Linked DNA regions of Xenopus tropicalis. The protein of the gene in region 1 interacts with the protein of each later gene in a pairwise test. Links are inferred from orthologs where the notes say so. Each region holds a gene or a part of one and is shown in the gene's direction. Other genes may lie near its edges.

Region 1 (3,657 bases):
ATCAAGTACAGGTACTGTTTTATTATTACAGAGAAAAGGGAATCATTTAACCATTAAATAAACCCAATAGGGCTGTTCTGCCCCAATAAGGGGTAATTATATCTTAGTTGGGATCAAGTACAGGTACTGTTTTATTATTACAGAGAAAAGGGAATCATTTAACCATCCCTACAGCTCTGATCTGCCCCCTACCCCATTGCCCTGCGCTGGTGACACAGCCGCTTTCTGTCCTTATGAAAATCATTTTTCCTGTGAAACATTTGCACTCGTGCCTATTTTTTCAGAATCCTAAATCAACACGCTGGCATGGCGTCAGTCAATAAACAATCGGCCAAATGGCAGTGCTGAGCCCTGTGCTATTATATAATTGCCTCAAACACTAGAGATGGGAGGGGCCAGCCATGTCACTGTGTCATACATATCCCTGGCTCATGTGACTGCTGAGTCTGTACCAGTAGTGTGTGATCTCTGTCCTGCAGGGTGTCAGTTGGCTCTCCCTGGCACAGGCTCACAGGTTTCATGTGTATGGGTGGTGCCTGGCTTGTAGATTCCATGCAGATACAATTAAGTGCACTCTTCCAGGGCCTTAAAGCAATACTGTCACAGGAAAACAAAATATTTTCACAACCCATCAGTTAATAGACATTCTCCAGCAGAATCCTGCATTGTAATCTGTTTTTCCCATGGGGCTAGCCATATTCTTCATTTCCGAGGGTGCCACAGCCATGTGACCTGTGCTCTGATAGACCTGCTGTGCTGCAAGTTGGGGTGATATCCCCCACCCTGACCCCCAGCAGCCGATCAGTAGAACAATGGGAAGGGAGCAAGATAGCAGCTCCCAGTAGGTATCAGAATAGCACTCAATAGTAAGAAATCCAAGTCCGCCTTGGGATTCCTCCAGTTACATGGGAGTAGGAGAAACAATAGGTTAGCTGAAAGCAGTTCTAATGTGTAGCGCTGGCTGAAAGCTCAGACTCAGGCACACTTTACTGCTGCGCTGCAAGTTGGAGTGATATCCCCCCCCCCTCACCCCCAGCAGCCGATCAGCAGAACAATGGGAAGGGAGCAAGATAGCAGCTCCCAGTAGGTATCAGAATAGCACTCAATAGTAAGAAATCCAAGTCCGGCTTGGGACTCCTCCAGTTACATGGGAGTAGGAGAAACAATAGGTTAGCTGAAAGCAGTTCTAATGTGTAGTGCTGGACCTGCAGCGCTCTGATACCTGTATTGGTTCCAGCTGTGTATAACCAAGCCTTTCCCTTTCCCTTCCCATCTCCAGGTGATATCCACGGACAGTACACGGATTTACTGCGGCTGTTTGAATACGGGGGCTTTCCGCCAGAAGCCAATTACCTCTTCCTGGGGGATTATGTGGACAGAGGGAAGCAGTCACTGGAAACCATCTGCCTGCTGCTGGCATATAAAATCAAATACCCAGAAAATTTCTTCCTGCTCAGAGGGAACCATGAGTGTGCGAGCATCAACCGGATCTACGGGTTCTACGATGAATGTGAGTGTGTCCCACACTGGGCTCCCTGGACAGTGCCAACGACTGCGTAGCCATTGTGGGATGTTTGTTGGTGATATGATAATGAGGACCCCCTCCTACAGATTTTAGTGGTCAGCTGTACCGTCTCTTTTCACATATAGCTCACACCAATTCTAATTTTTATAATCCAGTTTACTTGGTCAAATCTCAGTGCAACTGTACAGTAGTTGTACTTTAAAAGGAACTTGGTTTAGTTTGCTTTGAATAACCTTGTTTTGCTGTTTGTATTTTCTGTGCTGCAATGAGCTTCAGTCACACTTTACTGCTGCGCTGCAAGTTGGAGTGATATCCCCCCCCCCTCACCACCAGCAGCCGATCAGCAGAACAATGGGAAGGGAGCAAAATATCAGCTCCCAGTAGGTATCAGAATAGCACTCAATAGTAAGAAATCCAAGTCCGGCTTGGGACTCCTCCAGTTACATGGGAGTAGGAGAAACAGTAGGTTAGCTGAAAGCAGTTCTAATGTGTAGTGCTGGCTGAAAGCTCAGACTCAGGCACACTTTACTGCTGCGCTGCAAGTTGGAGTGATATCCTCCCCCCCCCCCCCCCCCCAGCAGCAGATGGCGCCTACACACCAATATTACAGCTACAAATACATTTGTTGGTTCAAGAATAAAAGGTTAAATGGCAGAGGGAATTGATTATTTGTTGTGTAACAGTGTCATTTAGAAATAAAAAAACATGAGATCATTTTGTGGCAGGGGTGTGATGTATTTATAGTTTTTTCTTTCTTTATATCATGTTTACCATTCCTTGAAGTGTGAAGCTCAACTCCTTCCTTTGCTTTTCCCATTCTCTAGGCAAACGGAGGTTTAACATTAAACTGTGGAAGACATTTACAGACTGCTTCAATTGCCTGCCTATCGCTGCCATCGTGGATGAAAAGATTTTCTGTTGCCATGGAGGTACGCCATCTTTGTAACTGACTGGCAGGGCCCTTTTGTGACATATATGTCATGTATATGTATCTTATAAATATTGCTAGAAATCTGTTAGATTCCTCGGGGCAGTTATTCACTGTCGGTATAGCTGGATGTTGCCTACAGCCAAATACTTGTCCTAATTCCATCGTGTTTAGCTGTAGGCTCTATAATATGTGTCTGTGCCGGAGAGTCAGGCTGTAACCTGATGGCTTTGTACTGGTCAGCCGTGTTATTTAGTAATGGTACCAGTACTACCACCCTGTGCCCTGCATCATAAATATAGGTAACATCCAGGCTAGACTTTGTTTCTTTTGAGCCTTGCATAGTGTTAAGCAGTGTTTTTTCTAAAGGTGGCTATAAACTGCATGATCCGCTCACTTGGCACGGTCACTGAGCAAGCAAATCTTCTCCCAATATCCCCACCTATGGGTGGGTGATATTGGCCTAATTCGTTTGTTTGGCCCTGGAGCCAAACCATCGAATTAGAATGGCGGGTATAAGCGCAGTCCGTTCCGACTACATTTTCAAACCCGCCCGATTGATATCTGGCCAATTTCAGGCCAGATATCTGTTGGGCAGGCCCGTCGGTAGTGCCCATACACGGGTATAAGCTGCCAAATTGGTGTAAGGGACCGATATCGGCAGCTAGAATCGGCCCGTGTATGGCCACTTTTATTCGATCTTTTGACTCTAGGGCCTAACGATTGAGTTAAAATAGTGGGAATAGGCATTGTTGGTTCAGTGACTGCATCAATGAGCCAATGCTGTCCCCGATCCAACGGAAAAATCAAACCTGCCCCATAGAGATTTGCCCAATTTCAGGCCAGATGTCGGGGAGGCCTGTTAGTGGTGCCCATACATGGGCAGGTAAGCTGCCAAATCGGCAGCTAAAATTGCCCCGTGTATGGCCATCTTTAGGCTGTGCTTATATAACCTTTGCCTCATATACTGTGTGAGCAAATATCCCCTTATTTCAGATCTCATAACTGACCCTCAAGCTCACAGGCTTATCCAGAGGCTCCGATCTTACCTTATGTGGCCTTTTAGGGCAATGACAGATGCACAGATTCTGAACCCGTAGCAGGTTGTATAAATTACACAACCTGTTTAAACCACTTAAATTGAGTAATTGTGCAAAATGCCGCCTTACAAATATTTGAGCATTTTTTACATTTTGCGATTTAA
Region 2 (3,875 bases), on another chromosome or scaffold:
TTCTTTTGAAGAGGTGACGGATACTGCCTTCTAATTGGTTAATATAGGTGATGAGAACTATAGCAAACTTATAGCACTGTGCCTCGCATAAACCCCATAGTGTAGATATCTGGGTCATAAACAAATATTTCTTAAAGCAGGACTGAATGAGCAACGCAACACTAAATAGGAAGCAAGACCCTGCTCTTCATGGAATACAGTTCACTTTTAATGGGTTAGCAACTTTCAATTGGATTGTTTTAAATAGTTTTTGAATTACTGGCATTCTTTTGACACTTTCCCACTTTCAAATGGGGATCACTGACCCCAGCAGTCAAAAAAAAAACTTGCAGCTGCTTTTTTACTCTTTATTTCTTATCTTTCTATTTAGTCCCTCACCTTATATTCTTGGCTCTTCCTGGTTGCTAAGATTACCAAACTTACTCTTGAAAGCAGCCAATAAAAAACAAATTTATTTAAGTACCACAGATAAGAAATGAAGAATTGCACACTCTCATGCTAAATGTTAGTAAGTTAGTGTTAAGGTGAACAACCCATTTAAAGTTTGCTTGTAATGTTATGGAACTAAAGTTAAGCAACAAAGTGAGATCAGACTGCTTTTCTCTCAATGTATATCTGATGTGTTTAATTTTTTATTTTTAGTGTTCTGGACTTTTTTCCTCATAAGACAATGGCGGTAGACATCGCCATGAAGTTTTACTTGCGTTCCCCGCCATTGAGACGAGACCGTGTTGAATGCAGGATTGCCCGAAAGTCTAATGAACCCTTGAGACCGTGCATTCAGACAACTAATAAAACATTGCTGAGTGAACTGAGCAACCAAGAAAATAAAGTTAAGAAGCGGGTTTCATTTGCAGACAGTCGAGGCCTTGCACTTACCATGGTGAAAGTATATTCTGATTTTGATGATGAACTGGAAATTCCTTTTAATATATCAGAATTAATTGATAACATAGTCAACCTGACAACTGTGGAGAAGGAACGCTTTTTCTTGGACTTTGTGCAACCTTCTGCTGATTACTTGGACTTCAGAAACCGATTGCAAGCAGAAAGTGTGTGTCTAGAAAACTGCATGCTCAAAGACAAAGCTCTTGTTGGTACTGTAAAGGTTAAGAATCTTGCCTTCCAAAAGTCTGTGAAGATAAGAATGACCTGTGATAGTTGGCAAACTTACAAAGACTATGACTGTCTGTATGTTAAGGACACATACGCTGGTTCAGATAAAGACACTTTCTCATTTGATGTCAGCTTGCCAGAGGGTATCCAATCCAGTGCAAGCATAGAATTTGCTGTGTGTTTTGAATGCGAAGGAAGAATTTTTTGGGATAGTAATAAAGGTTTAAACTACAGAATTGTTAGACAGGATCATAGGATTCCCTCTGACTTTGAAAGTCGGCATTATGATCCTGTATGCTTGTCTGTTGATCAGTATGGGAGTCCTAGGTGCTCTTATGGCATTTTCCCAGAATTACAGACCTACTCTGGATTTGATAAACTAGGGCCTTATTATTAAAAATTGCATTAATAAAGAAAATTATTGGAGGAGACCGCCAAAAGTTTGTGGTGGTGCCAATCCTAATAAGGTAAAGTTGGGATTTGATGTAAAATATGTCCTTGTTGGGACTGGTAATGCACAATGAACTGAGAACCTATACTAGGTTATAATGCTGTCTTGTATCTAGCTTTCCTTTTTAAGGGATGCGTTTGGTGTCCTAATACTTAAATCCAAAGTAGCACCTTGCACCAAAGTAATGATGTGGTGATGCCAGGAAAAGTGATAACCTACAGTGCTGCTAGCCTTTTCCTTCCTATTGCTGCTACCAATCCACTGTTACTTTAATAGTATTGTCTTCCTCTGTGTTGCAGTTGGAAGCATTTTCATGTTCCTAGGATTTGAGAGATTTATGCCACATTTGACCACACCAAAACGCTATCCACGTCTCTTGTTTTTAAAATGTTTCGCTCTTCTCAGGTGAACGGATGTGATGGGCGTCATGGTGTAAATGTTTTTTGAATTTTTATTTCACTGCTTCACGTGCACAAATTTTTGTACCAGTTGAGTATCCACTGGCATGCCTCTTTAGATTTGGTACTGTACTGCAGCAATGTTATAAGTATTAAGTGTCTTGATATATAAAGGGCTGCACTCTAACCAGAAGGTCTTAATGTTGTCCAGAAGTGCATGTCCTGACCACCTCTAGAAAGCTAAATGCAAATATTTCCTATTCTTTCTGTCATTTGATCTCTGTGCCTTCAAGGATTTTTCTCCTCGTCGGATGGGTTTTAATCTTTGCATTTTGTTGGGTTCTTTAGTAGAAGTCTGCACTCTCTCCCCCCTCCCCCCTTCCTTTTTCCCTACACAAAGAAACAAATGCAGGTGTCCTTCCTCCCTCTGATTTCCCCCTCCCCTCCAAATGCAATTGCCCCTTATGTTCCTTTGGTTTCCTCTGGTGCTTTAATCATATAAATGGGTTTGTGTGTTTATCAAAACCCAGTTTCAGAAGTACAAGGGAATCTACCGATGGAATTGGCTACTAAAGCCATGATATGTTGTATAATTGTGACCATAGTAATTTCTTTCTGAAACTGAAGCATTCTAACTTTGGTCCCTGTTGTGAGTTAATGTGCACCCTTTATGGAAAAGATAGCCAGACTGTTTTTTTACATAAATGTTCAGGTTGGATTCTTGCTTTCAGATATATCTTCTACAATTGTTCTATATGGAACTGTGTGGTTTGCCATAGGGCATGACATTTGTGCACTTTAAACCATATTGTCATGTCTGTGTCATAAACAGCAATGGCATTTTATCTAAATTACGTAAAACTTTGGGTTTACTGGTAAACAAAAATAAGTTCCATTATGAACTTATTCTAAAAGGATAGGGTTAAGATATGCATTCATAATTGGGATGTTTCCAGCACTGCTGTGTGTGGTGCATTATATTTCTCCATGACTCTTTTGGCACATGTGAATTGCCATGGAACAGAACCAGCTGTGGTTGTTTTAATGAATATCTTGATCTGCAAATGAAAATATTGATAAGTCTTCACTACTGACCAAGAATGTAGAATCTAGACTGTTAGAATCAGAAAAGACTGATTCATTACCTGTTCCCAAACTATGCATTTCTGTGAATGTATAGAGAAAATGTCTTTCTATCCCTTTCCTTATTTTGTGCCTAGAAGTGCCTTGTTTAAATGTCGTTTTTTGTTTTTGCATGTTTGCATTTTTAAGACATATACATTTTGTACACAAGTGTTGTAATATTGATGCACTTTATAATCACAAGTGTGAACATTTCAAAATTTTTTTTTTTTTGTTTTTTTTTTTTTAGAAATATTTTAAAGTGAAATGTAATAAAGGTAGAGCATTTAACATGAACACTAGTTTGCTTTTTTTCTTGAATTGACTTGGTGTATGTATGTTTTGAGCAACTTTGACAGTATTTCTATTGTTAATCTTTCATATTTCACACACTAAAAAAAATAAATGCTTACACTAAGGCAGTACTATGAGTAATTTAACTTTGCACTCATCATGATATGCCTTGCAGATAGGGGAAGGCACCTGGCCAGTATTTCACCAGTATTCAGCAGCAATTAATTTGCCGGTAAATTTGTAATTACCTGTGCTTCCAGCCGGCCCTGAAATGCCACTTCCAAAACTGAATATTTGCTGGATTGGCTCTGGTCCATGCCCCTCACTGATCAAGGTTTGATTTGTATCACTAATTGGGTAATAGTTATCCTTAGGTCACCTTATAGTTACTCAGTAATTCAGGTTTGAATTGCATTTCTTGGCAGGGAGTGTTCTTGTCAAATCACTGGTTACCTAGATCTGTGGGAGAAAGACCAACACCCATTTTTAAAGAC

What was found. The genes of interacting proteins can lie anywhere in the genome.
Region 2: the proteins of ppp1cb (region 1) and ppp1r3b interact in a two-hybrid assay, tested with the Homo sapiens proteins (2 studies listed by BioGRID and IntAct). The link is inferred for Xenopus tropicalis from reciprocal best matches to the Homo sapiens genes PPP1CB and PPP1R3B.

The regions. Positions count from the first base shown.
Region 1 is NC_030681.2:5,962,273-5,965,929, forward strand, and holds part of ppp1cb (serine/threonine-protein phosphatase PP1-beta catalytic subunit), read left to right. Parts: intron 1-1,279; coding exon 1,280-1,510; intron 1,511-2,349; coding exon 2,350-2,454; intron 2,455-3,657. UniProt on the Homo sapiens protein: Protein phosphatase that associates with over 200 regulatory proteins to form highly specific holoenzymes which dephosphorylate hundreds of biological targets.
Region 2 is NC_030677.2:97,987,836-97,991,710, forward strand, and holds the end of ppp1r3b (protein phosphatase 1 regulatory subunit 3B), read left to right. Parts: intron 1-642; coding exon of another isoform or gene 643-670; coding exon 671-1,513; 3' UTR 1,514-3,368; downstream 3,369-3,875. UniProt on the Homo sapiens protein: Acts as a glycogen-targeting subunit for phosphatase PP1. Facilitates interaction of the PP1 with enzymes of the glycogen metabolism and regulates its activity.